Medicago truncatula: one gene and its partners. The protein of the gene in region 1 interacts with the protein of each later gene in a pairwise test. Links are inferred from orthologs where the notes say so. Each region holds a gene or a part of one and is shown on either strand. Other genes may lie near its edges.

Region 1 (7,269 bases):
TGTTAGACAACAACATACTGCACACACTCATCTACTCCTCCTCCCAAGTCAAAAGCCTACGCCACCATTTCCACCCATCTTCCCCGTCCCCCATCTCTGCCAGTGAAACAAAATGATTCTTCAATAATGAATATAGCCACCTAAACCTATCACTCATCACCCCTCCATCCAATCACTAGACTGACCAAAAGAAAGTCTTGGTCCCGTGACCCACAACCCACACCAAATTCTCGTCAAACCAACTCCCCACACCCAAACCTACACCTCTACGTATGGTCATGATATCGTGCCATCAATGTGAACCCATACGACCACCCTTTTTCACCCTCACCATCCTCTACCCCATACTTCGCTACCAACACCTTAAACCTTATACTCGATTGTTCCGCCTGCATTCTCCAACACCACTTTTATAACCATGGTAAATTAATTTGACTAATCCCCCTAACCCCAACCCTCCTTTCTCTTTATCCGAACAAATATTATCCCAGTTGATCCATGGTGATTTCCTAGACACCCCCCCACCAAAAAAAAAAAAAAAAAATCAAAATATAGATTTAATAGAGGAAATTATATATACATATGATGAAGTCTTCAAGAAGGAAAGAAAATAGATTAGGAGTGATGACAAGACATATTTAAGAAGAAACAAACGATTATCCAATAGCAAATTAGTTTAGTTAATGCAATTTAAATGGGTGATTGATTCAGTTCATTATGTGGTTAATGAGTTATTATATAGTTTAGTTTAGTTTTTTTTATAACCACAAATAAGTCCATGATTACCGACATTCAAATATTTGGTTCATTCAATTTATTACTGTTTAATGAATTACAATTATCAACTAAACATATTTAAAATGCTTTAAGCATGATCCAAGAACACTTAGATGAGAAGACAATATCTCTATGTTGGTATGAACAATGCATAATGTATGCAAGGTTTACTTTCTATCTGCATTTCATAAGGCTCGAGGGAGCGCACGGAAAATACTTTTTTTTTTTGAGAGGACGCACGGAAAATACATGTTTTATGCAAAAAAAAAAAAAGTCTTAATCATGAAATGAAAAAATGAACCACGTTGTGTTTTAAAAAAAAAAAAAAATCAATTTTCAAATAAATAAATATAATTGAACTACATCAAGATATTTGTTAATCACATAATGAACTGAATTAACTATGTTATTAAACCGTGTAACCATATAATAAATAAACAAACAATGTTAAGTGTCAAAAATCACCGTTAAAAAGTGATACCATTAACCAAGTACTATACATAATTAATCATTTATTTGTGCCAAAAATAGTTCAACTAACATTTCTGTTTTGAAATATTCAAGGTTCATCTAGTTTGAAAAAAAAAAAAAAAAAAAAAGAGTCAAAAATATTGTTTGAGAAAGTCAATAATGTTTAATAGTTTTCGAGGTAGTTATAGTATCAAGTCATCGATAGAAATAGAATGAGAAAAGAAACCCCCATTACCACTTACCATTGTCATGATATATTTATTATTATTATTCATTCTATTATCTGTAGAGAAGGGGCGCCCCGTGCTTCGTAGGTGAAGTTATTCTATTGCTGTTATTATTTGACTTTGTTATTCCATGTGGCTTGTGCATTTGTTCCTCACGTGCACATTATTGAAATGGAAAACACCAGATATTTTGTTTGCAAATATGAGACTAGGTCGTGTCTGAAATTTAATTTCTGTACCAAATGTTGACTCCTGAATAATAGGAATACATACACCTGCTATGAAGTTTACTCAATTATGAGACATGTTTAGGTCATTTTTAAGTTAATGTTCTATAAATTGAATCAAAACTAGCCGTCTAATTGGTTGAATTGTGGATCGATATTATTTATGATTAAGTTATTTGAGCGGTTTAATTGTGCTTTCTTATGTTTGAGCAAGTTAATAAAGTAGCTAAACTATGATATAGATATCTTGTCGATTGAGCGTCTGATTTGATTTTGGTTCTTAGGAGAAGGAGATTATGATAATTTAAAGCAAGTAAAATCTAATTAAAAGTTGTCCGAACCAAGATTTAATGTTTTCTCAAATGATTTGTCATATTCTAAATTGATTAATCACTTTGAGTTCAATCCATAGGAAATCCAATGGTTATGTAGTAACCCTAATCTTAATTATAAAGAATGACTCCCACAAAAAAAAACTTCATTTTTTGTAGTCAAGCTTCACCATAATTTTAAAATAATGAGTATGGTGTCAAATTGTGGTTACTATGCAAGTAAAGCTTGCAAAAGTTTTAAATTTTATATAGAAATATCATGCATAAAACAATTGAAAGATGACAAGATTTGAAATGTTTAACTATTCAATGAAACTTATCAAGGATATGTATATGAAGGAGAGAACTATTCATGAAGCATAAAATACAAACAAATAACTCGTTGAATTTGAAATGATCAGAAATGTGAATGACTTTGACGAAAGATTCTTGGACAAAAATTTGAGTGCACATTGATAAAAAAGAAATTTAAATGACTAAACAAAGGGTATAAAGACAATAGCTTGAAACGGAAGACGAGGAACGAGAAAGAAAGCAACAAATAATAAAACAAGAACAACAACATGAATGATTGAAAAGAAATTTCAATAAAGCGTAGAATTACAAGAATCCACACATCAGATTTGTGTCATGTTAACAAGAAAATATTAACGACTGTTGTTTAACCATATAAAGTAATAATTTTTATATTGAAAATTATGTAATTATGACTTTTACATGTGTTTGACTTGTATTTTTAAGATAAAATTATTTCTCGTTGTGGGTTCGTTAAATATTACTCTTAGCACACTTGTTAGCAAGACAAAAAAAATTACATATCAAGAAACACGTTCATACACATTTATTATAAAAAAATATTTTGGTTTTAGTTTTGGTTTTGGATTGAGAAAAGATAGGTGGACACCCCGTCCATCCAACCTACAAAGTATTATTACTTAACAAGTTTTTTTATATAGGTATTAGTACAACTTTATGCTACAAATTTGGCAGAGAATCAAGCCAGTAAATAAGTAGAGGATCAATAGGGTAATACATATTCTCACGCATATTGTTGGTTTTTGGAGCAATGTAGTGATAGAGAAGGATTATAGTCGAGAATATAAGAATGAAATCATTTTGTAATATGAGAACATTTTTATTTTTCCTTGCTTAGATTATCAAGAAAACCTAATCCACGGTGCCTTCAAACATTATGACGATCAAGTAAGTTAAAGGGCATGAGTGTGAGGTTTTAGGTTTTAGAAAATGTGTATTTGAATCTAGATTGACAACTTGGATGACAGTTGAGGGATGGTGTACCTGTAAACATTACGACAATCAAGTAAGTCAAATGTCATGAATGTAATGTTTTAGTGTTTAAAAAATGTGTACTTAAACATGTTTCATAAGTCAGGTTTTATAGGAAAAAGATAAAGGATTTTTTTTGGATAAAAACCCTAATTGAACAACTTTAGACATATCATTGTGTGATATTCATCATATTGTCCTACAAGGATTCCGAAATCTGGTTTTTGCGTATCTTTAAGCCTGTCCAAAACATAGTCTAAGATGAGTTAACATTGTTAGAGTGACCAATTACTACAAAGCAATATTCCTAACCATTTGCATAAAACGTTCCAAATGTTAATGTCATTTGTAAAAACATTAATTTAAACTAAACTCCAATTAAATATACATGTGTGTTTATTCCACATGAAAAACAACTCCTTATCTTAATCCTATATAATACATAAAAAACAGCTGTCAGATACAAATTGCCTATATATGTGCCAGAAAACAGTTGATCAATTATTTGAGTCATTAATCATTCTTAACTAAAATTGTAGTGATACTAATATATACGTATATGATCTCTTTTTAATGACGGAAAGAGGGGCCTAATTAGTCCATTTTAGGAGAGATTTTAATTTTATATCAAGGTGTAGGTATCAGTCAATTTTTGTATATAATATTTAAATCCCTCTGACTTATTTTATTTCTAATGATATTATATTTTAGTCATTCATTAAGATAGTAGTTGAAATAATTGAACAAGCTAAGACCGTAGATTAGAGGCGGCTACAATCACAACCGTCCGATCAAAAATACAAACGCGTCGTTCTTGTAACGCGCGTGTGTTAATCTCCTTCGCGCGTTTTCGCACCTTCTTCGTAGCATCTTCTCCGAAAATAGATTCTATAAAATTCAACGTGCTTCACAAGCCGAGTCAATAACTCACTATAAACATTATTTAAATTGAAATTCACCGCCTTCTTCTTCAACACACTACCATCGCCGACGCTTTCTAGAGAGAGAAAAAAATTCTTGAGAGTGAAGAAAATCAAATCAAATCAAATCAATGGCCGGAGTTAACCAAAACGGCGTCGCTGAGTTTCCGGCGGTTCAGACTCACGGCGGACAGTTCGTTCAGTACAACGTGTTCGGTAATCTTTTCGAGGTTACGGCTAAGTATCGTCCTCCGATCATGCCTATTGGTCGTGGTGCTTACGGAATCGTTTGGTATTGCTTCGTATAATCTACTTCTTTTTTGAATCGGTTTTGTTTATGATGGATTTGATTTAACGGTTTTGGAAAGTGAGAAATGAATCTGATTTGTTTTTGTTGATGTGATTTTTGAAGTTCGTTGTTGAATACGGAGACGAATGAGTTGGTTGCTGTGAAGAAGATAGCGAATGCTTTTGATAATCATATGGATGCGAAGCGTACGCTCCGTGAGATTAAGCTTCTTAGGCATTTAGATCATGAAAATGTGAGTAGTTATCTTTAAATTCTTAATTACTAAACTTTATTTGATTAATTAGATAGTTTCATTGAATTGACTTATTCCGGTTTATTCACTGCATAAACATTTTGAGAGTGTTCAGAAGAACTTATCAAAACGGCTTATGACATGTTTATAAACTATCTTTAGCTTATTTATTTTTGTAAGCTATTAACTTCTAAAAATACCAAAAAGCAGTGTAACTTTATTTTATATTTAATTATAAATAGCTAAAATAATCATTTATACATATGATAAACACTTATGTTATAAGCTGCAAATTAAGTTGTTAATCTATATGCTTTGTATGGTATAAATTTTCTAATCTGTGTGAAAAAGGACAATTAATAGTCAATTAAGGTAAAACTATTTGAAATTCTATATGGCTTTTTTTAGCATTGCTGCTACTTTCTGCGAAAGGTTCTTAAGTACCTATCACTATCATTGTTGTTGATAATATCGCGTTGACATTTCAAGTCATACATGAAGGATTGAGGAATACAAGTATTGTACGTAATGATCATGGAAAATTTGGTTCCTATTTTAGGAGTCGTACATTAAATGATTTTTTTTTTTGAAGTAAAAGTGTCGTACATTAAATGTTGAAAAATATGTGTGGTGAGTAGCTACACGTTTGTTGAGATTTAATGGAAACAAGCCATCTCTCTTGACAATGGTGGACCATGATGATTGAGAAAAAACCAAGTCAATAATGGAAAAAGATAATGCCCAAAAGAATAATTATGAAGAGTGTGACACCAATTATTTGTGTAAGGCTGAATTAAGTTCAATATCTAATAATAACTTATTGCTTTTGAAAAATATATGACACAAATTTAGTTAACAGGACTAATAAATCTTAGATAGGCTCTGATATCATCTTAAATTTTGGGTTGGTCCTAACTCAACTCTTACAAAACCGGCCTTTAAAATGGGTATTGCCTTCATTTATAATCACATTTTTTGGTCTTTTCTCACTCAATGCGGGACTCTTAACGGTTATATTTTTTTCCTTTCGAATAATACATAATTGGTTCATGCCTAATTGATTACTTTCATACATTTTAAAGTTTACACTGTAGTTTAAGTCTTAAAGTATCAAATGTGCAAATCTCAATTTGATAAATGTATATTTAGTAATGGTTAAAATGTTTGTTTTTTAAAACAGGTAATTGGTTTAAGAGATGTTATTCCACCACCCTTGCGTAGAGAGTTTAATGATGTTTACATAACCACCGAACTCATGGATACTGATCTTCACCAAATCATTCGCTCTAATCAAAACCTGTCAGATGAACACTGCCAGGTCAGTGTTTTGAATTTGTTGTTTTTAGTATCAAAATCATTGCCTTAACTTTTTTGCGCTGGAATTAATTGAACTACTCGTTTTGCTGATGATTGTATGCCTTGTACTTGCAGTACTTTTTGTATCAGATTCTTCGTGGGCTAAGGTATATACATTCTGCAAACATAATCCATAGAGATTTGAAACCAAGCAACCTGCTGTTAAATGCAAATTGCGACTTGAAGATTATTGATTTTGGTCTTGCGCGACCAACTATGGAAAGTGACTTCATGACAGAATATGTTGTCACGAGATGGTATAGGGCTCCTGAATTGTTGTTGAACTCCTCAGATTACACCTCTGCAATAGATGTCTGGTCTGTTGGTTGCATTTTTATGGAGCTTATGAATAAAAAGCCTCTGTTTCCTGGCAAAGATCATGTGCATCAAATGCGCTTATTGACAGAGGTAAGACTATAGGAATCAGCATAACTAATCATTTTCTTAAAAAATTTGCATTATCTTAAACGACACTTATAATGTGGCGGATGGAGTAAAACATTACACTAAATGTTTTCTCTAGTTGCTACTTACTCATATAAGTTGATATTCATATAAATATTTCATTATTAATGCCTTGAATACAATCAATAGTTTAATCATAAAAGTAGTAATATATCATATATGCTTAATTGCTTACACTTGTTGTTTTTCTACAGCTTCTTGGCACTCCAACTGACGCTGATGTGGGGTTAGTAAAAAATGACGATGCGAGAAGATATATCCGACAACTTCCTCAGTATCCTCGTCAACCTTTGAATAGGGTTTTCCCCCATGTTCATCCCTTAGCCATTGATCTTGTCGATAAAATGTTGACAATTGATCCTACCAGAAGAATTACAGGTAATTTTCTCATCCTTGCATTCATTTATGTCTCTATAGCTAGATAAAGCAGTAATGGGTTCATTTTGAATATAATGTTGAATTACATTGAATAAATTTTCATATCTGCTTGTTTAAATATTGGCAGTTGAAGAAGCACTGGCTCATCCATACCTTGAAAAACTGCATGACGTAGCTGATGAACCTATCTGCATGGAGCCATTCTCATTTGAGTTTGAGCAACAACATTTGGATGAAGAACAAATAAAGGAGATGATCTACAGGGAAGCATTAGCACTCAATCCTGA
Region 2 (5,868 bases), on another chromosome or scaffold:
GCTAATTAGGTTGATCATGTTAAACAAGCCATTGCATTCTTTTCCTTTTCGGCACATAATTATAATTATTGGTGACTTGATGTGGATATAATTGTTTGTAATTTAATATTAGAATGGCTTTAAAACCGAACTTTGAAATTTTGGGATTCTCACAGTTGTTAATACGTACAAAGTGTCTCATTGATGCCTAATACTCAATTATTTGGATCATGGAGTAATAGGTAAGGAAAAGGACCTATAACAAATGTATATTTCTCTGTCAATGTCAGTTTTTTTCTATGTATTATAATGGTTTGCTCGATTTTTATCTAAGTTGAGGGGCGTGAAAACCATATCATAATAATAGAATACATCATGTACTAGTATTCTATTAATGATTAATTGGAATCTTCTTGAGAGAAATAATTTATTGGTCCCCATGTAATAATTATATGCATTATCATGGCCAACAACTAAGATAAGAAGGAAAATTAAAGGCACTATTTTCAATCATGGCATCATTATCATGAGAAGCAATCTATTCAATACTGCTCACATTTCTTGAAATGAACTCTACAATACATCCTCTTTTATATCTATTTGCAAGGTTGAAGGAGGAAAAATCACACAAATAGAACTTAAAAAGGTAAAAAAAAACATAATAAGTAAATTGTGAGCATTAAATTATTAATTTTCTGCTTCATCTAACACCATCTCTTTGTGTCTACATTCTTGACTGCAAAAAGCTTTTTCTCCTCTGCAAAAAAAAAAAAAAAAAAAAAAACACTATCAAGTTAATGTTCCTTAATAAGTTTTGCTCAAGTAACTAAATAAATATTTAAATGTACTAAACTTACCTGTAAATGAAGATGTCTTTTGTATGCTCAAGATGATTTTTGCAAGTGTAACAAAAGCTAAGAAAATTCATTGAAAAAGAGTGAGGACTATTGGTGACAGAACAGTAACTTTCTTCCACAACACAATTATCAAATATATGAGTTGTTTTTGGGTTTGGTCCATGAGATATCACACATGTGTATTCTTCAGAAAGTTCCATCTCACTCAAACTAAGAACACTTTTTTGTGACTCAAACATGGAAGGTGGTAGAGGAGGGATTTTCACTCTAAGCTCAGTTCCAAAGAGAACTTTTCTATTGCTTAGTTTATGATCAGAATTTTGATGAGAAGGTTCATCTTTTAGAACACCAATAAGACCAAGACCAATGGTTTTTGAAGCTACTTTGTCCCTAGTGCTACAAACTTTGTTGCTATTGGTAATTGAGAAAGGATTTTCAAATGAGGTTAATGCTTTTGTGTCAAGAGTTGATGTTGGACTTATCAAAGCTTCAGTTCCAGTGAGAGATTTTTTGGAAGTGAAATGAAAATCTCTATAGTTTGGTGAACCAAATAGAGATGGGAGTGTAGTGAAATTTTGATTTGGTGATTGTTCACCCATCAAAGTTTGTTTGGTGACTGCTCTTGATCTGTTTCTGAGTAGCATAAGTGCTTATTTTAAGCACTTCTAAGATGAAAAAGAAAATATTAAAATTTAAAAGTGTTTCACTTGAGGACTCTAAAGAAAAAGAATCCTAAGTGTATTGTGTTTGGTCTTGTGAATTTTCTTCAAGAAGAAAAAGCATGATTTAGTAGTGGTACATGTACTACAATATTTGGTTTATTTTTCAGCCTTAACTTTGAAACTTTGTGAAGAAAAAAACAGAAAGAAAGAGAAGAAAAAGAAGGAAGCTTTTGACATGGAATAGAGAGAGATATGACTGAATAATATATATGGCTTTTAAAGGAAGAAAAAGCAAAAGATGTTGTGTGCATGAAAATCAAACGTTAATAATACTTCAAAGTTTTGCTTTCTTTTTTAATTGAAAAAAAAGTTCTATTCTATTTTTCTCCATCTAAATCTCAATTCAACTGTGTCACTAAACATATTGATTTTTATTTTTTGTCTTTTTCTAATCATTTATTTATTGTATATATATATATATCTGTGTGTGTGTGATTTGATCCAAGGTTTTTTGTCCTGACTATAGTAATCTGGTGTGCCTTCGAACCATGGAATAGGAAAAAAAATTAAGGGAGATCTCACCTTTATGAATTGATTGAGAAAGTTAAGCATTGACATATTAAAAAAAAATTATAGTGTAAGTTTTATTTGCAATAGAACATGTAATAGATATAGAATAATATTGGACAATTGAAACATTTTTTTGTCATTTACAATATTTGGTAGACAATATACAACCCAAATAAAATAATGTGAGGTTTGTTTTTGATAACAGAATCTTGCCCAAAGTATTAAGAGGGCAGAAAGTACTAGTTAAAATTTTAAAACTTTATGATTGATATTCATAAGAGTAATATATAATTTTTTCCTACTCTTGAAAAATACATCAATTTACTTATATTAAAAATTGTATCACAGTAGCAAAATAAAAAACAACAATTGTATCACTCATAAAAAATGCACAAATTAATTATGTTTTTTTTAACAAATATATATATATATATATATATATATATATATATATATATATATATATATATATAACCCAAGAGAATTCTCAAGCACAAGGTGTGCTAAAGAAAGCTCAACAGTACACAGTTACAAAGTCCGATGTGAAGTAATACAAAAACAGATTAGCCATGCCCTAACAAACAAAAGGGCTCGACCACCACATATGAAAATTAGCCCAAATAGAAATATTAATAGTCTTCATCCACCAAAAGGAATGTAATTTGACTTTCTCTACCAATTGGTGGATGGTGCTCTCCATATTTTTGAAGATCCGACTATTTCTTTCATTCCACATGACCCACACACAATACAACCAAATAAGCTACACAAAAGATCGACGGGTACGCGAGCCACCTGCGCAATAAACAAACTGATAAAAACGATCTGACACTTGTAATGGCTCGGCTAAAGCTATACCCATCCAGGACCGAATTTTGCCCCACAAAGTTGCAAAAAAAGACAAGAGAGAAACAAATGTTGAGTAGTCTCGATGTCGCCGCAACCCACCACACAATGCCGATTAGCGTGAGGAAGAACACCGCGCACGAGCAAATTATCCTTCGTCGTCAATCTATTCTGAAGGAGCCGCCACGCAAGAATAGAGAGACCTTCAAGGAAACTTGTTTGTGCATAATTAAATCCGATAAAACTTATGTTGTCTAAACCTACTGACTGGTAAGCAATTGGTAAACACCTCTAACTGAGTAACCACTCGACGGATCAAGCCTCCAAACCCACTGATCTGTAGAATTTTGCTGCAAAGAAATGTCAGATAGTAAAATCCTACACTGCCCTAACAACTCATCCTCCCAAACCCACAACCGCTTGCGCCACTGTCAAGCCTCCCCGCCTTCCTCCCACCCTAACGAAAACATCTCCGCCATCGAAACAGACTTATTCACAGCTAAATCGAAAAACGTCTAAACTAGACACACAAAGGCGCATCACCCACCCACGGATCTAACCAAACCAACGTATACAACATTGATATGCACAAATTAATTACTAATTTCATATTTTTCTTTTCGATAAGGTAGAATTGTTTTGATTGCAAAAATTGTATTTTCAATAATATTAGCGGGGTAGTGGTGGTAATAGTTAGGGATGGTAATGAGTACCAATGGATAGAGTACTATTGTACCCTTTTTCATACCCGTGTTTGTAAAAAAATGCATGTATATGAGCCTGTACCATCGTGGTAACAATTTTAGTGTCATTCCCCATACCTTGTGGGCACCTAAGTGTTCATACCTGTACCCATACCCACACTTTAATTATAAAAAGACAATAAAAAACATCACAATTGAAATAAAACTATGATCCAATTTTTTTTAATGCAACTAATAAAAGTAGAAATCGTAGTATTTAACCAAATAAAAAAACATCCAAAATATTTCTCAAAAATTAAAATAAAATCATTCAAAATACATATAAAAATGTGCATGTTAAAATAAACATCAAATTGATTTAAATCATAAATTTGTAGCTCGTGAGCTTATGATGGTAATGATGAAATGATTACTGTATTAGTTTTTAGGTTTAGGTTTATCCTTAAATAACTAAATAAATTAAATAATTGTACACAAAAAATAAATAAAATATGGCTTAATTGCATATTTGATCCCTTATGTTTATTTTAGTTTTCAAGTTGGTCCCTATGTTTTAAAAGTTTCAAGTTGGTCCCTTACGTTTTAAAAGTTTCAAGTTGGTCCAAAACGTTACTCACGTTGGAATAAGCCAGTCCCTTCAATCACTTAACATTTAAATATTCGGGTTGACAATATGGGTGATGGAATGGACTAACTTATTTCAATGTGAGTAACGTTTTGGACCAACTTGAAACTTTTAAAACGTAAGGGACCAACTTTAAAACTAAAATAAACATAAGGGATCAAACATGCAATTAAACCATAACATATTTATTATATTATATAAATATGTATATGCCGGTTGTGAAGTTGGGTAGTATAGTACCTTTATCCGCATCCATACCCAACTGAATTTGCGGGTATTATCCGGACCCAAGTCCATACCCATAAAAACGGGATTTTACCCTGCTCTTTGCGAGTATTTTTTGCGGGTGCTCATCGGACCTGGGTCCAATTACCATCTACAGTAATAGTACAAATTATAAGACAATTTTCATGATCATTTGTTGGTTCACATGGTTGTGAAGAAACAAAACTATTATTGAAAGAGTTTTTTTTTTTTTTTTTTTTTACAACCAAATAACTCTGTCTCAATGATCCAAAATTTATTAGAAAAACAGACTTGTATTCGAACCAACCACCTCATCGTGATCTTTAAATGAAGGGGATAATATGCATAGGTTGAAAAAAAAGATGTTTTAACAAAATCCAAATTAAATATAAAATTTTAAGCACCAAAATCATAATTTTTTTTTTCATCCATAACTACCCATAAAATATTTCACAAACTCATTAAAGAATTTTTCATATTTTTTTATCTTCCTAAAATAGGCAAATCACTTAAAAATTTAAGACTTTACCTATTTTGAAAAATAAAAACTATAAAAACATTATCAATTAAAGAAGAGTAAGTTAACGACTATAATCAATGTCTTGAAAACTTTTATATGATAACTTTGTATGAAAACATATGTAATCAATGTCTTGAAAATCGAAATGTTGACTTTTTTATAAATTAGTTTCTTTTTTTTAGAATATTTAAAGAGTGCCTTAAAGGCACTCTTTAACTAGATCCATTGGCCCATTAAAGAATCCAAAATGTGTTGAAGATTAAATACCTTTTCCAATGGGTAGTACTACCACACCTTCGACTTTGACTGCAGTCCTACCATTATTTTTATACCAAATGAAATCCTTTCCAAACGTCTATCTCTCTAATGTGGGACTTGAATGTATCTAATTCTTTCACGGACCAGTTTAGCTTAAGCATCCTGGTAGTAACAATAAGAAGGAAGGATCACTATCTTATGCATTAAGACTCTCTTATGTAGTGTTTGTTTCCTAAAAGTTCTATTCAATTTAAGTAACGAGATTATTAACATTTATGAGAATAGAAGTCAGTTTTCAACTCAAAATAACACTCGTTGATCGAGTGGTAGCTACTGATTAGAGGGTGATAAGAAATCGAAATTGATTAAGTATTTATTTTTTTGAATATTCTGAATATACATGCTGAAAATAATTTGGCAATGTCCCTTTGCTCACCCCAGCGAAAAGGCTAGTTGTCGTGAATCCCTCAAGTTTTAGTATTTTGGCAAGGTGTGTCATTATTGCCCGTTGAAACCGTAAATGTTGCGACGCTTGCATATTCAAAACCAGTGTTTATTTATGAATTGTTAAAATTTGGTTGGTTATGAACTTGATTTCCCT
Region 3 (7,411 bases), about 20 Mb from region 1:
ACAAGAGGTTGTTTCCTGGACTTGAACCCGTGACCTTTCAGTCACGTGACAACAACTTTACCTTGCACCAAGGTTGTTTCCAGGACAAATGCTTAAAACAACAAATGAAATTTAAAGCTTTATTTTGTATTTGTAATACTCTTTAAACCTGCTAATATATAAATTAACGGCACACAATGATATTCTCTTTTGCAATCCACAATCCTTTTTGTTGCATTTATTGGGTTAAACTGAATCCTGATACTATAAGAGGCCTTACCTATTTCACGCTCGCCATTTTCAGGGCTGTCACTGCCATGGATAACATTCCTGCCAAAAGTTCATCATAAGATCTTGTCAGTCCACATCCTCAAATCAACCAGAAAAACACACCCTATGAATCTTATTTTGATTCTTGACCAAGGCTCACAAAATTCACAAATCAGATGTGAAAAGTCCTTACCTTCCTGTTTCAACAGCAAAGTCTCCTCTTATTGTGCCTGGTTCTGCTTGCAGAGGATTTGTTGCTCCTATAAGCTTACGTGCTGATGGCACTACTCCAACACCCTCCCAAGCCTTGCAAACATAAAACCAGAAAGTACATTCAACAGGTATACTGTGAAACCCTCATTGAAAATGGGATACTAGTGGAAAGAGTTATACCATAGACACAACGGGGCCCGAAGTAATATATTCACTCAGCTTAGGGAAGAAAGACCTTTGATTTAGGTCCTTGTAATGCTCCTGAAACCATAAACAGTCACAATAAGCCATCCATGTGTAAATAGCAAATTAACAGTTGAACATAAGACAAACATCACAAACTGAACCAACATTATTGCAAACATAAGATGTAGGTCTATACTCTATATCATATTGGTATAGTAAGCAACCATGGTCCTCGTGAGCTTAACTCAGTTGGTATGGACAATGCATAATATATGCAAGGTCTGAGGTTCAAACCCCGGCCACCACCAAAAAAAATACTACCTCCGGTCCTTTTTATTAGAAACAAAAGTGAGAATTTTTTTGGTCCTTTTTATAAGAAGATTGATCAAGTTTCAAATATGTTTGAAGCTAAATTTCATTTGTGCCCTTATTGATTATGAGAGAGAATATTAAAAGTAAGTAAGTTGATGGAATAAAGAGTAATTAATTTAAGGGTATTCATAGAATTATTTTAAATGTAGAAGTGTATTAAATGAAGATGACTATTTTCAATGTAATTTCTTGGTGTTGATGTTTTATGTTTTTTGTTTCTTGTATAAAGGACCGGAGGGAGTAGTAAGCAACCATGAAAATATGGATACAATTGGATTTTGTAACTGGATGGTTGGAATTAGTTACTCAAGCACCTGATATTGTGACATTTCATGCAACTATACTCAATACTTTTATGGAAACATATTCAGAATAGTTCTAAAATACAGAGAATACCTTCAATGAACTTCACAATATGTCATGGATTCTAGTTGAGAAAGCAATACTCTTAGTGCTTTTCTTCATTTAATTAGGGTTAATAGGACATTGAGTTAATATTTTGCATCATACATCATACCAAATTAATAGATTACTACAGGTCTCCTGTCTCTCTTTTTGTCCTTCCCTACCTAAAACCCATAATTAGGCCATGGTATCCATCTTGAAGAGACTTTCTTGTACTATCAAGTTTATGGAACCAGACCCTGACATTCATGTTTGATCTCTTTTTGCTCTGCTCCGGCTAGTTTTAAAGCTGTTTAATTAACTCTGTTCCAATCCCCTTCTCACCACAGATCGACTACTTTATACCTATCTTAGAGCGTGTTGGCTCTACTCCATCTTGTTACGCAGATTGATTTTATTTAGGTCTTGTCTTTTATGCAGATTGGCTTTACTTGAAATCCTATTTACCTCCTCTCCAATTGAACACCCTTGCAACTGCATCACCCTAACAAGAGTGTCTCTCCGGATAACTTAAAGATTAACAATAACAAGCTATACCTTAGAGGGAGAGTGTTAACAATACATCACTATGGTATATCTTGGAGTATCTTAAAAGATATTTAGCGTATACTGTGTAATCAATAAGTTTGCTAATTGAGAAAGCAATCTTCTCATTTTACTGCTCTATTTAATAAGAGTCAATAATCTTATAGATGATTTTTATTATTATGAAAAGCACAATTAGGTTAAGCAGCCCATCATATTAATAATAGATAGTATTTATATCAATGTAATATATTGAACCCTGTCATTCTCCTTTACAAATTGAACCCCATATACAGCAAGAAAAATAAATTGAGCATAAGACATCATGGATATACAAACAAGCAAGTATTGAAGAAAGTAGACAAACCTCAGCTAATTCTTTAGAGCATTGAAAGAGCTTCAAGCCAATTAACTTAAACCCCTTCTTCTCAAACCTAGAAATAATTTCACCCACCTAAACCAATTCAACAAAACAACAATTATAACCTTAAACTTCAATTTTTTAATTTTTGTTTCATCCCTTAATGTCTGAAACCAGAACATATGAAATTAAGAGACTTACAAGACCACGTTGCACGCCATCGGGTTTCACCATAATATAAGTTCGGTCAACTTGTTCCTGCACAAACATTAAAAAAAAAAAAAATATATATATATATATATATATAGAATTACACACACAGAGTGATAATAAATTGAGCAAATTGGCGAGTAGAAAAAGAGAACATACGAGAGAAGCAATTAAGTGGGGAAGGAAAATGCCGGTATTGGTGGAGCTTTTAGTGCGGATGGTTTTGGCATAGGAAGAAGAAGTAGAAGATGAAAAAAGATGGGATTTAGAAGGAAATGCAGAAAGGTGTTGGGTGGTGCGTAATTGAGAGCTTCTTGTGTTTGTGTTTGAGGTGCGTAATTGAGAGGATGTGACATAGATACTATTGGTTCCGCAAAACACGCCCATGGCTTCCATTTCTCTTCTTCCTCTCTTTGCGTCGCGGCTGTGGAACAACGATGTTCTTTGGAGTTTGGATTTGGATGTGGCAAGTCAGAAAGAAAGCGACTTTGGTAATTTTTAAACTATACTACTGTTTTTTTTTTTTTTTTTTTTAATATAATGATAAAAATCAAAAGATTATCGAGAAAAAAATGATACAAAAATTGTTTTTTTTAGAAAAAAATAATGTAATTTTTTAACAAGGAAAGAAAGAATGTAATTACAAATTCTTCTGTCTACTTCAATTAATTATTATTAATATCAAGTTGATTTGATTATTATCCTTTTCAAAAAAGTTAGACACTAAATTCATGAATTTACCACTTGTCTTTTTTTTTTTTTTATTTACAGAATTTACCACTTGTCAATAGATGATAGTTTCTCTTTACAAATTCTTTTTTATTATTAAATAAATTTCTCAATCAATTGAAAGAATTGAGATTAACTTACGGTTTTTTTTTTTAGAGGTTGGAGGGGAGGGGAGTGTTTTGAATAAAAAGGAATGAAAAAGAAGATATTGGGGTTAATTTTTATTCATAACATATAATTCTTATAATTTTAAAGAACTGAAGAAAAAAAAAATGCATTGAGGAAGGGATTTGGAGTGTTTATATGAATTTTTCAAATTCAATATTTGTTGTTATACTAATATTTTTAAAATTAAAAATGTATTAATCATAAACATTAGTTCTCTTTAAAAAAAAAAGTGAAAAATTTCTTCATTTTTATATATATTTCTCATCCCTCAAAACACTCCCCTCCCCTCCCCTCCAAACTCTCAAACAAAGCTTAGAAATACGACTAGTTTAGGCGAAGGAAGAAGTAACGACTAACGAGATAAGAGCGACAAAGCGAGTACATGTTTTGTATATAAATGCTACCATTTTAACATTATATCAATAGACTTTTTTAGGGAAACATTATATCAATATTTAAATTATTAAATTTGGCATTTTATCATTTTATTTTAAAGATAATATATAATGACAAATATGAAAATTGTCTAAAATTTATTTTACCAATGCACCTTTGAGGTATATTTTGCGGATATGCCCACATTCCTCTATCACACTCTGCATTTGCAGCCCCTCCACTCTTGGCCACCTCAGGCCATGCTATCCATAATGAACTCTTTTTCTAGTACATTGTGTTTTAGAACACAAATATGAATGAAATTCCCTTCAAACAAAAAAAAAAATTGAATGAACTTAGTGCTAAAAGATAGGCTTGGATATACATATACCTACATGAAATAAATGGCCAACATTAACCAACAAATACAGGAATTTTTTGGAGAGAGTATTATTAAGTTCATTGAAAAATTGAATCAAATAAATGTTAGTAGGATTTACATCTCATCAAACTCCTACACATGTTATGCACACAACAATAATTAGTCATCACTTTATTTCTGCTCCATCTCAAGCAGCCACACCACACACAGAATTACATCAAAAGTTTTATTCTCGCCCTAAATATTTCAGTACTTTCACAAGCTACTAATATAGGGTCTTAAATTCACAACATGCACACAAAAACAAATTATTCAAACACATATAACAGCTTCTCACAGAACTGTTATTTATTGACAGAACTAAAAAGAGGTCATTCAGCATTTCCAGCAAGAAACTGCAACAATAGGCTTTGATTTCCATCCAAGAACCAAACACCCTTTCTCTTCCACAACAGTATATCCATCACAAACATTATTCTTCACAAGCCACTGCTTAGCTTGAACCACCATCTTAATAGGTGAACCTTGAAATCCAGCCCTACTCATTCTCCTCCTCCACTGATCAACTTTCTCATGCCTCTCCATCCTCAATGGTCCTTCACAGCTCACAATGTTCTTTATCTCCTCAGCAAAATAAAACTGTTCCATTTTTGCCCTCTTAGTGTCATACTTTGGCAGCATAGCATCCAATGAGTCAAAAATAGCAGAATAATAATGCAATGATTCCATAAACCTTCCAAGGAAAAAAGGTCCATTATGACCAGAATCTTGCTCAGCCATAACCAACACTTTCGGTGAAAGACCGTGTATCATTTGTAAAACCGCATTCAAAGCGCCACGACTCTCTTTAACAACACAATGCAATTGAAGAATGCTGTTAACCACAAGGACCTCTTTTTCATTCACTTTTATGTCCTTAGGTTTCAAATTCTCCAAATTCTTCTCAACAATTGAGAATTCCAAATGAATCCCCAAGTTTTTCGCGTAAATTGAGAGTTCTTCACCAATGACTTGGATTCTAGCAATGCATAGACCAATCGCTGTGATCCTAAGCCTCCGAACACGGTGGCTGGATCGATCCGCGAGACTTTGAATTAGTCCTCGCCATTGGTGTCCATGTGGAAGACCAAGGCTCATGCCAAGATCAACCACATGAAGAAAACTCTCACCCTCAAAGGCTTCCAATATTATGGAATTAGCCACAAAATGTCCAAATTGAATATGTGGACAATTTTCATAAACCAACTTGAATGCTTCTTCCATTTCTTCTGATGCAGCATCCATTATGTTCATCATTGATTTTGTATCTGATCCAGCAGAGTTATTACCAATTGGTTGAATCAGAGTTAGTCTCTCTGTGAGTCCTTGAACAAAACAAGAAGCAACTCTTTGAAACGAAGAACCAAACACCAAAGCATTTGATTTAAGCTCAGATAGTAAAACCGAAGCGTGTGATTTATCGCGACACGCGACAGCTTCAGCACATGCAATTAGAAGTTGAACTAGTCTCATTCCATCAGCACATGAACCATCTTCTTCAGCTTCGCAATTATTGTAGTTGAAGTTATCTTCTGCTGCTTCTTCAACAGCTTCAGAAGCAAAATATCTTTGTTTATAAGTTCTTATGTGATCTCTGAAATGAAGCCTTGGAATGCTATTCACACTGTTGTTATTGCTGTTGATGTTATTGAAGAAACTATTACTATGGCTGCTGAAATTAGCAAACCAAATAGGGATAGTTACGGTTGATCTTTTCAATTTCTTGTGATCCCTAATGGTTTCAGTTTCATGATCAGAAAATGGATTAAGGATCCATGTTGAAGTAGCACTGTTTTCTAAAATAGGCAAATTTGGATATAAAGAAGCATAGTAAGAACCCATTAATGATGGATTTTCATCTACCTCACATTTGAAGGTACTAGCATAAAGTGCAGGTGACATATTAATTTCTCAATTAATGTCTATAACACTTTATAAGTTTGCTTTCTAAAGATATTCAACAAAGCTCTGAAAGAACGTACATACAAATGATGGACAATTTATAGCAAAAATTACCTTGTTGACGTTAATAACAAGGTTTGCTTTATTATAATATTTTGGTACAAAATTAGAGTACGTAACATATGCTGTCAACTTCTCTTGTTGACGTTGAAATATAGCATAGCAAATTAAATTGAATTTTGATGAATAAGGGAATCTCAAGAGCGCATTGTTTCCGCTCCCAGGATATTGGAATTTGACAAACGGCATGCATGAGGTTATACTAATTAGTTGGTAAAGCATAATTTCTCAGAGAAAAGATAGGTGGACATCTAAAACTCTTTGACATCGTGAAAAAGAAAGAGATAATAGAGTGACGTTCAATTATATTGTTGATGTAACAGAAAGAGAGACAGAGAGATAAAATGAGGTGTTAAATAGAGATGTAAAGGAAATTAGAGATGTAATTGTATTATTTATTATTATAATTTTTTTTCCTTGGTACAATGATAATAAAATAGTACAGCATAATTTGTTGGCAGTTAAATAACGTTTATTTTTGTCGCTGTTGTCATGGTCAACAAAAGAACCGCGTCTACACAGGGTTTGGGGCATACGTAATTTCTCGTCCAGTGACGTAATAGCTACTAATGTACTCTCTCAGTCCTTGTAAAACTACATATACTCCCCCGGATTCCAACATTGTACACATATATTCTCCCGGCATTCCAACATCTACATTGTATACAAGAAAAAATACATGGTTTTGGTTGTCTTTTTTACTTTTAATAATACTCTAAAATAAATTTAACTATTAATATGTTATTTTCTTAGTGTTATTCAAAAAGATAATAATTTATATTGTATTTGTTACATTGTTAGTATCATTGAAAAAGATAAATATAGTTTGTTATAATATAAAAGCGTAAAATATCTATTATCTATTTATCTAAATATATCCCTCAAAAAAATAAAAATATTATCTAAACATATACTTTTAATCAAAATCAAAATAATTTTAATCAAAATTTCATAAAAACTATTATTCGTAATTTATATATATATTGATGCAATAAAAATAACTAATAAACGGGCACGAAAAGCCCTGCCCTGTAGTATAAATAATATTTGTATAACAATTTCATGACAACTTTTGGGATAAACCTTTTTCATATTCTCTCTTCTTATTCTCAGTTGTGTTCAGTAACATGATTATCCTGAGAAAGATAGAGAATTTCACATCCATGACACAGATT

The links.
Region 2: the proteins of mitogen-activated protein kinase 3 (region 1) and protein MARD1 interact in binary tests that used the Arabidopsis thaliana proteins (3 or more experiments, as listed by UniProt). The link is inferred for Medicago truncatula from reciprocal best matches to the Arabidopsis thaliana genes MPK3 and AT3G63210.
Region 3: the proteins of mitogen-activated protein kinase 3 (region 1) and nucleoside diphosphate kinase 2, chloroplastic interact in binary tests that used the Arabidopsis thaliana proteins (3 or more experiments, as listed by UniProt). The link is inferred for Medicago truncatula from reciprocal best matches to the Arabidopsis thaliana genes MPK3 and NDPK2.

Annotation. Positions count from the first base shown.
Region 1 is NC_053045.1:30,780,318-30,787,586, reverse strand, and holds the start of mitogen-activated protein kinase 3, read left to right. Parts: upstream 1-4,245; 5' UTR 4,246-4,372; coding exon 4,373-4,533; intron 4,534-4,653; coding exon 4,654-4,783; intron 4,784-5,963; coding exon 5,964-6,101; intron 6,102-6,214; coding exon 6,215-6,547; intron 6,548-6,798; coding exon 6,799-6,982; intron 6,983-7,109; coding exon 7,110-7,269. UniProt on the Arabidopsis thaliana protein: Involved in oxidative stress-mediated signaling cascade (such as ozone). Involved in the innate immune MAP kinase signaling cascade (MEKK1, MKK4/MKK5 and MPK3/MPK6) downstream of bacterial flagellin receptor FLS2.
Region 2 is NC_053042.1:35,788,986-35,794,853, reverse strand, and holds protein MARD1, read right to left. Parts: upstream 1,797-5,868; 5' UTR 1,481-1,796; coding exon 837-1,480; intron 737-836; coding exon 667-736; 3' UTR 501-666; downstream 1-500. UniProt on the Arabidopsis thaliana protein: May act as an adapter to facilitate the interaction of SnRK1 complex with effector proteins, conferring tissue- and stimulus-type specific differences in the SnRK1 regulation pathway. Involved in seed dormancy control.
Region 3 is NC_053045.1:50,982,258-50,989,668, reverse strand, and holds the start of nucleoside diphosphate kinase 2, chloroplastic, read right to left. Parts: upstream 3,001-7,411; 5' UTR 2,918-3,000; coding exon 2,681-2,917; intron 2,570-2,680; coding exon 2,513-2,569; intron 2,405-2,512; coding exon 2,318-2,404; intron 724-2,317; coding exon 643-723; intron 556-642; coding exon 443-555; intron 310-442; coding exon 260-309; intron 1-259. Other genes in the region: GRAS family protein RAD1, read right to left, coding at 4,551-6,056. UniProt on the Arabidopsis thaliana protein: Major role in the synthesis of nucleoside triphosphates other than ATP. The ATP gamma phosphate is transferred to the NDP beta phosphate via a ping-pong mechanism, using a phosphorylated active-site intermediate. May activate MPK3 and MPK6.